Linked DNA regions of Canis lupus familiaris. Each later gene encodes a partner of the first gene's protein in a complex. Links are inferred from orthologs where the notes say so. Each region holds a gene or a part of one and is shown in the gene's direction. Other genes may lie near its edges.

What was found. The genes of interacting proteins can lie anywhere in the genome.
Region 2: the proteins of RANGAP1 (region 1) and SENP2 are in contact, whole or in part, in a crystal structure (PDB 2IO3), measured with the Homo sapiens proteins. The link is inferred for Canis lupus familiaris from reciprocal best matches to the Homo sapiens genes RANGAP1 and SENP2. Residues at the interface, in NP_001265580.1 of Homo sapiens: Glu467, Asn508, Thr511, Thr514, Arg515, Val518, His519, Leu523, Lys524, Ser525, Glu526, Asp527, Val529; in NP_067640.2 of Homo sapiens: Tyr408, His409, Trp410, Val477, His478, Asp495, Met497, Gly498, Gln499, Lys500, Pro536, His537, Gln541, Gln542, Asn544, Gly545.

Annotation. Positions count from the first base shown.
Region 1 is NC_049231.1:24,911,670-24,915,865, forward strand, and holds the start of RANGAP1 (ran GTPase-activating protein 1), read left to right. Parts: upstream 1-1,289; 5' UTR 1,290-1,399; coding exon 1,400-1,484; intron 1,485-1,865; coding exon 1,866-2,015; intron 2,016-4,196. UniProt on the Homo sapiens protein: GTPase activator for RAN. Converts cytoplasmic GTP-bound RAN to GDP-bound RAN, which is essential for RAN-mediated nuclear import and export. Mediates dissociation of cargo from nuclear export complexes containing XPO1, RAN and RANBP2 after nuclear export.
Region 2 is NC_049255.1:18,502,522-18,506,170, forward strand, and holds part of SENP2 (sentrin-specific protease 2), read left to right. Parts: intron 1-62; coding exon 63-196; intron 197-607; coding exon 608-674; intron 675-2,427; coding exon 2,428-2,518; intron 2,519-3,649. UniProt on the Homo sapiens protein: Protease that catalyzes two essential functions in the SUMO pathway.

The DNA of each region.
Region 1 (4,196 bases):
TAAACAGGCTCCATGCAGGGAGCCCAATGTGGGACTTGATCCTGGGACCCCAGGATCATGCCCTGGGCTGAAGGCAGTGCTAAACCCCCTGAGCCACCCTGGCTGCCCTGTTTGTTTGTTTTTAACCTAGGTACTATGCCCATCCTGGAGCCCAGCATGGGGCTTGAACTTATGACCCTGATATCAAGTCCAGAGCTGAGATCAATAGTTGAACACTTAACCAACTGAGCCATCAGGTGCCCCTCTAACCAATCTGTTTTATTTTTATTTTTATTTTTATTTATTTATTTATTTTTGGACCAATCTGTTTTAAATCGCAACCCCCTCGGGGCACCTGAGTGGCTCAGTGGTTGAGCGTCTGCCTTTGGCTCAGGGCGTGATGCCAGGATCCCAACGTCCTGGGATCGAGTCCCACATCAGGCTTCCCACAGGGAGCCTGCTTCTCCCTCTGCCTACGTCTCTGCCTCTCTTTCTATGTCTCTCATGAATAAATAAAATCTTTATAAATAAATAAATCGCAACCCCCTTAAAACTCCTTACCCCCTTCTCCGTTTGTTTTTCTTATCACTTACACAAATAAGATTCCACATGTCTTATTTAGAACACATGTTTTAAGAGGTGCCCAGCTAGCTCATTTGGTAGAACATGTGACTCGATCTCAGAGTTGTGGGTTTGTGACCCATGTTGGGCATAGAGATTACTTAAAAAAATAAAATCTTAAAAAATAAATAAAAATAAAATCTTATAAAAAAGAGAGAGGGCAGTATTTTTGCTTCATTCACTGCTTGGTTCTGGTATCTAGAGCAACGTCCAGAACATAGTAATACCCAATAAATGTTTATTGAATGAATGAGTGGTGCCTTCTTATCTAGGAGAATAATTCATACATATTTGTAAAAATTGGCAAGCCAGGGTGATCAGGGTTAAGATAAGGAGAAGGAGGTGGGAGGCTGGCTATAGGAGCCCAGAGGAAGCCTGGGGGGAGTTGGAGGATTGGGGAGCCATCACAGTTGTATCTTGAGGACGAATAGATTGGGGAAGGACATGTTCTGGGTAAGGAGTTTTTGTGGGCCCTTCCTCGTTCTGTCTTCCATATCCATCATCCTTGGTCTCCCCTGATGACCTGCCATTTCCTCTTTAGGGAAATGGAGTGGTCTTTCTGCCAATCTGCCGAGTTCTTCCAGGCCAGAAGCTCCTTTCTTCAGCAGCTCTGCCCTTGGTCTATTGTGATGGTGGCTGTTGTGATGTAGAGACCTCTGGTCTCCTAGGAACCCCTGAGGTTTGGCCACCATGGATTGCCCAGTCTTCTGGCTAAGGTTGAAACCAGACGGGCAGTGGGCTGACACCTGTGCCCCATCCCCAGAGACATGCCAGCGTGGGAGGTGGGGCATTTCGCGGGATGGATAACCTGGATCCCTTAGCCATCCTAGTCCTGTTTGAGGAATGGGACCCTCAAACAGAGAGCAGCCAGGATGATCAGGCAGGTGTGTGCCTGGAGTAGGCTCTTTGCATTGCAGCTGTTGGTCTGGGCCCAACTACCATTCACTGGGAGCCCAGAAGATGGGCAGCTCAGATGGCTGTGCTTGGTGTTCCAGCTGGGGCCATTGGGGCAGGCGAGGAGTTAAAATAAGCTAGTAATCCTTCAGGGGCTAAAACATGATTTTACTACTCTTGCCACTTTCTCCACCTTTCTAGAATTGTTCCTTACCTAATAGTGTTTTCATTTCTCCCAGTAGTTTAGCTGTTGGAGTCTCCATGGAGGAGGGGGTGTTAAGCCCCTGAAAGGGCTGATGTCCTACCCGGCCCTCCCCAACCAGGGGGCCCCAGGAGACTCCTGTCTCTTAATGAAACTTCATCCTGCTCAGTTTGCAGATTTCCGGGGGAGCCCAGCAACGTGGCCAGCATGGCCTCTGAAGACATTGCCAAGCTAGCAGAGACACTTGCCAAAACCCAGGTGGCTGGGGGTCAGCTGAGTTTCAAGGGCAAGAGCCTCAAACTCAACACTGCGGAAGATGGTGAGTTCCTGCTTGGGCTGGCCCAGGGGAGGAAAGAGTGTGTGCCAATGACTCTTGTTCCAGCTTGTTTAGCTACATTATCACGTTGTTTGTTACCTAGTAGCTCTGTGAGATAGTTTTGGGTCCCTTTTAGAGTGAGGCTCAAAGATGTGCCCACAAGGACATATATAGGCTTCCCTGCTAGTCATCATGTTTTTGGAGGCCATCCTTGCTGGTGACAGCTTAGGTTGGCTGGTGGAAAGGGCCACTTTATGTCTTAGTGGGAGGAGATAGTAAACAACAAAGGATCACAACAGCAGTGTCAGGGTATAGTCCCTGACTTCTTACTTCCCACCTTTACCACTATGATCCCAGACTGGTTTTGGGAATACTGGTTGGCTTTCCCAGAGGTAAGGCCCTCTTGGGAGGTCTGGTCCGTGCAACTGAATGCCCCTGGAAGAGGGAGGGATGTTCTTGTCCTAGGAACCAGGACTGTAGGGAATTAGGAAGCAGAATGCAGGCCTTGTCTGTTCATCCCTGGCCAAAGCATGGCTAACACTGGTCAACCCTGAATCCCCTGACGTTTGGAAGTGAAGGCACCTACGCCAGCACTTGCAAGGACTCTTGAGGTTCTGGCCCAACCAGGGAAACTGGTATGGACTTGCCCGGTTGTCATGGATTGCAGGCAAGCTTGCTCACCTGCCCTGCCTCAGAAACTGGAGTTCTCAGGTTGTCAGGAGCATGGCAGTGCACATTCCTGATGTCTCTGAAGGGCCTTAACATTTACAGAGTCCCTCCCTGTGCTGTTATCACTTCCGATCACACGTCATCCCTGAGGGGGGGATGTAGAAATGTTACCATTTTATAAATAAGGAGAAGAGATTTGGAAGACCTAACTTGTCCAAGGTCATCTAGCTGGTAAGTAGCAGAGCTGGGATTTTAACAGAGGTCCAGCTAAGTCCCTATTCTTGTGTTTGTCAGTAGACAGCTCAGTTCAGTAAAGATGAATTTGCTTTTTTTTTTTTAAGATTTAAAAAAAAAAAAAAATATTATGTATTCATGAGAGAGAGAGAGAGAGAGAGAGGGAGAGAGGCAGAGACACAGGAGGAGGGAGAAGCAGGCTCTATGCCGGGAGCCGATGTGGGACTTGATCCCAGGGCCCCAGGATCGCGCCCCGGGCCAAAGGCAGGCGTTAAACCGCTGAGCCACCCAGGGATCCCCCTTTTTTTAAGATTTTATTTATTCACGAGAGACAGAGAGGGAGAGGGAGAGGCAGAGACACAGGTAGAGGGAGAAGCAGGCTCCATGCAAGGAGCTCGATGCTTGATGGGACTCGATCCTGGGATTCCAGGATCATGCCCTGGGCCAAAGGCAGGTGCTAAACCGCTCAGCCACCCAGGGATCCCCTGAATTTGCTATTAAATTCCATTCCCTGAATGCTGAGTCAGGCATTCTTTAAGTGCCTGACTTAAGGAAGTTTATCCTCACAAAAGTCCTTGAGGTAGGTCTCATCCCCATTTTGTAGATTGGAAAAGTGAAGCCCTGGGAAATAATAGGACTTGCCTAAGGGCACAGATACAGGTAATGGAGCTAGGATTAGAGCTCAAGCTTGTCTAGCTTTAAAATCTGTGCAGATCACTAATTAACCAGCTCAGGCTGGACATGTTGCCTCCATTTTCTTGGTCACCAGGGATGCCCAGCTTATAGCCCCGGCCTCTGAGGACCTCCTAAGATGGAGTAGGAAGGAGGTACTCAACTGCCAGGGGGTAGAAGGTGAAGCATACTCTGAGCAACGTGAACAGAAAGCTGTGGGAAATACGGCAAGGGAAAGGGATCATTTCTGGTTTAGGAGGGCCCCGGAAGTCCCCATGGATAAGGTGGTTGAACTGTCATTGTAGGGGAGAGGGCAGTAGACGCAGGGAGTATCATGTGAGGGGAGGAGCTGAGACACATAGGGTGGGCTTGGGCGAGAAGGAATCAGGGTGCCATAGGGAGCCCAGTGCAGACAGCCTTGAATGTAGTGTGGAGGAGTCTGGCAGCTGGACCCTGGGCCCAGAAAGGGCCTCCACCTTGGCTGGCAGTGAGCTGGCATAGTCAGGAGAGGGCAAGGCCTGTATGAGGAAGCCATGATGCTTGGAACAAGGCTCTTCTCTCCCCAGTAAGTCATTTAAGGACCAAGGAAAGGCCTTTCTGCTTTCCATG
Region 2 (3,649 bases), on another chromosome or scaffold:
TTTTGCTAGAAGTTTATTACTCTATATACGTATGTAAATGTAATCTATATTATATTGTCTAGATTATTTCATTCACCAAGTCAAAACCAGTCTCTACAATGCTGCCAGCTTATTTGGATTCCCATTCCAGCTGACCACAAAGCCCATGGTAACCTCTGCTTGTAATGGAACACGGAATGTGGCCCCTTCAGGAGAGGTCAGTGGGGATAGGGTTCCATTGGGGCTACTGATCTTCATACTTAATCATTAAAGTGAAATTTTAGAAATATTCTCTTTTTAGGAATTGAGTAGAATGACTTTGATATGTTTATAAGCCTTGATATAAAGGCCAAGAAGTTAAAGGTTAAGAAAATACACATTTAAAAAATATTTATAAAGAGCTCAATTAGTAATACATCTGTTCTTACTTAAGTATTTGTAGAGAACCTGAAATTGTTATTTTAAACATAATTTTGTGAGTCTTCACCAATTTAACTTTTGGTCTACTGATGATGTCTCTTCCATGAGCTAGCGAAATCATCACCAATAGAGTGATTTTTTTAATATTAAAAACTTATTTAAATTCTAAAATTGAGATACTACAGAGGTGATTCTATTTGGTTTTAAGGTATTTTCGAACTCATCGTCTTGTGAACTGACAGGTTCTGGACCCTGGAACAACATGCTGAAACTGGGTGAGGCGATCAGAGATCCTTCTGCTTTCCTCTACCTCTTCTTGCCTCTGTTTCCTGAGTTTTGAGAATATGAAAGAAAAACACTCATTTGGGTTGTGTTGAGAACACAGACATATTCTCTCTACCTTCTAAAAATTAAATAGTTTTCCTTTAGAATTGTCATTGAATTTACTGTTTGTGTTTTCTATTTGTATTATCATTGTCTTTAATGTGACTTAGTTCAGGGTTCACTCATTAAAAAAACATTTCCTGCGAGCTTACTCTGTGTCAGGCATGTGTTATCAAGAATAACAGAATGACAAAATAATAAATAAAATCTTTTATAACAAAATACAAAACAAATAACAAAATAAATAAACCCTGTCTTTCAGGGACATCATCTGATGGGGGAACAACTTTAGGTTTTCAGTTCTGATAGCTTTATGGATTGGGAGCCTCCACGTCATTCTTGGAGCCCAAAACTGAATTATAATTGTACATAACCATACATAACTTAAAATTCTATCATGGCGAAAAAGAGGAAGAATCTGGACTCCAGAAAATGACTGTGATCTCTGTCACACAGGTTTATGAAGTTTGAGAGAAAGGGATAAAAGCTTTTAGAAAAGTTGTGGGTTCAGAAGTAAAAATGGAAGAAACTAAGGAAATGATAAAAACTTTACAGTAGTAAGTTTCCTCTCAAGCTTTTTAAGTAAAGTATCTCTGGTGGCAGAGAAGAGCAAAAGGGAGTAAACACACACCCCTGAGTCTGAGACTCTAGTTCCAAAGGACCTGGAGTCAGGATGATACTTTTATGAAGTTTTTCATTTTATTTTAAAAGTTAATATAAATTAGATATTATAATCTATTCATATTGCTTGAATATATAGTTAAAAATGATTTATTATTAAAATGGACATATGGAAGGGATGGTACGTTTGTCTTGTGCCAAGCTGTCAGCACTATATTTCTATGTGTTCATGTAGCCTTGTCAGAGAAGCACAGGTATTCCTGGGGCACGTTTCTTGCATAAAGAAGTCTACAGTCTCTTATCTGAAATCCTTAAAGGTGTACTGGGGAATTTAGAATTTTTCATATTTTATATATATCGTGTTTATTGAATATTATTTTTAAAAATCCCATTAGAATTGAACATTGGTTCAAATCAGGTTTTGCAAACAAAGGAATTCAGGTCAGTTTAAGTTTGCTGCTACAGACTCATGGAAAAACTTTCAGTTTTAGATCTCTTTACATTTTGGAGTCCTCAGGAGCTCTATACCTGTGCAGTAGCTCTAGCAGTAAATGTGGCTGATAAAAGTTTGGTTACCCTTTTTTGAAGTATAGTGACCGTCTCATAAGTGATGGAAGCTTCCAGTGAAATGTAGTAACATATAGCAGATTTTCATTTAAAAATAACTCCTGTTTTCTTGGGAAGAAGAAATGATTTGAACAACTCACTCAATTTGATTTGATTACATGGAGTTTGTAATCATGAGTTCCTCATGCTTCTTGATGCTACAGCAAGTGAAACTAGAAAAGCTTGCCTGTGAATTTTTACTGTCTCCCTGAAATCAAATACAGATAAAGCACTATTGCTTTTCTTCAACTTTTTACAGTGTTGAATCTCTGTGTTGTATAGTAATGGCATGTGAAAGAATAAGATATTTAGTTCTACAATATAGACCACTCACAGATTTTCTAATGCAGACTGTTCACAGGTTTGGGTTTGTTTTTGTTTTGTTTTTTTACAATTACAAATGCATTTTTAAAATAGGTAATAAATCCCCTAATGGAATAAGTGACTATCCAAAGATCAGAGTGACAGTAACCCGAGATCAGCCCCGAAGAGTCCTGCCTTCCTTTGGGTAAGTGTAAATGGAAACTTAGTACTTATTAGGTGTTGGCTCTTGCTAGGCATTCTTTTGTTCTATTATGTAATCTTGTTAAATAAGTACTCTGAGGTTAGTAAGTTGCCAGATATCATACAGCTATTGAAAAATTTGAACTCAGGTGTGTGTTACTTTCTCTATACCATAGCATATGCTTATAGTATCTGATTTTTTTTTTAACTTACTTGACAGAAAGAGAGCACACAAGCAGGGGGAGTGGCAGGCAGAAGGAGAGGGAGAAGCAACCTGCCTGCTGAGCAGAGAGTACAATGTGGGGCTCGATCCTAGGACCTTGGGATCATGACCTGAGCCAAAGCAGACACTTAACCAACTGAGCCATCCAGGCGCCTCATACAGCATCAGATTTTGAAAACCTTTTTTTTTTTTAATTTTTATTTATTTATGATAGTCACACAGAGAGAGAGAGAGAGAGAGGCAGAGACACAGGCAGAGGGAGAAGCAGGCTCCATGCACCGGAAGCCCGACGTGGGATTCGATCCCGGGTCTCCAGGATCGCGCCCTGGGCCAAAGGCAGGCGTTAAACCGCTGCACCACCCAGGGATCCCTGAAAACCTTTTAAAATGATTTGTTGCTCACTTCTAAACTTTGTTTTAGGGAGATCCCTGGGTGGCTCAGTGGTTTAGCGCCTGCCTTTGGCCCAGGGCGCGATCCTACAGTCCCGGGATCGAGTCCCACGTTGGGCTCCCAGCATGGAGCCTGCTTCTCCCTCCTCCTGTGTCTCTGCCTCTCTCTCTCTATGTCTATCATAAATAATAAATAAATAAATCTTAAAAAAAAAACAACTTTGTTTTATTTTTAATTTTTTTTTAAGATTTTATTTACTTATTCATGAGAGACACAGAGAGAGGCAGAGAGAGAGACAGAGACAGGAGAAGCAGGCTGCATGCAAGGGGCCTGATATGGGACTCCATCCCGGGACTCCAGGATCGAGCCACCCAGGCATCCCTGTTTTATTTTTTTAAAGGATTTTATTTTATTTTATTTTATTTTATTTTATTTTATTTTATTTTATTTTATTTTATTATTTTATTATTTATTTATTTATGCATTCTCATACAAGCAGTGGGGAGGGGCAAAGGAGAGGAT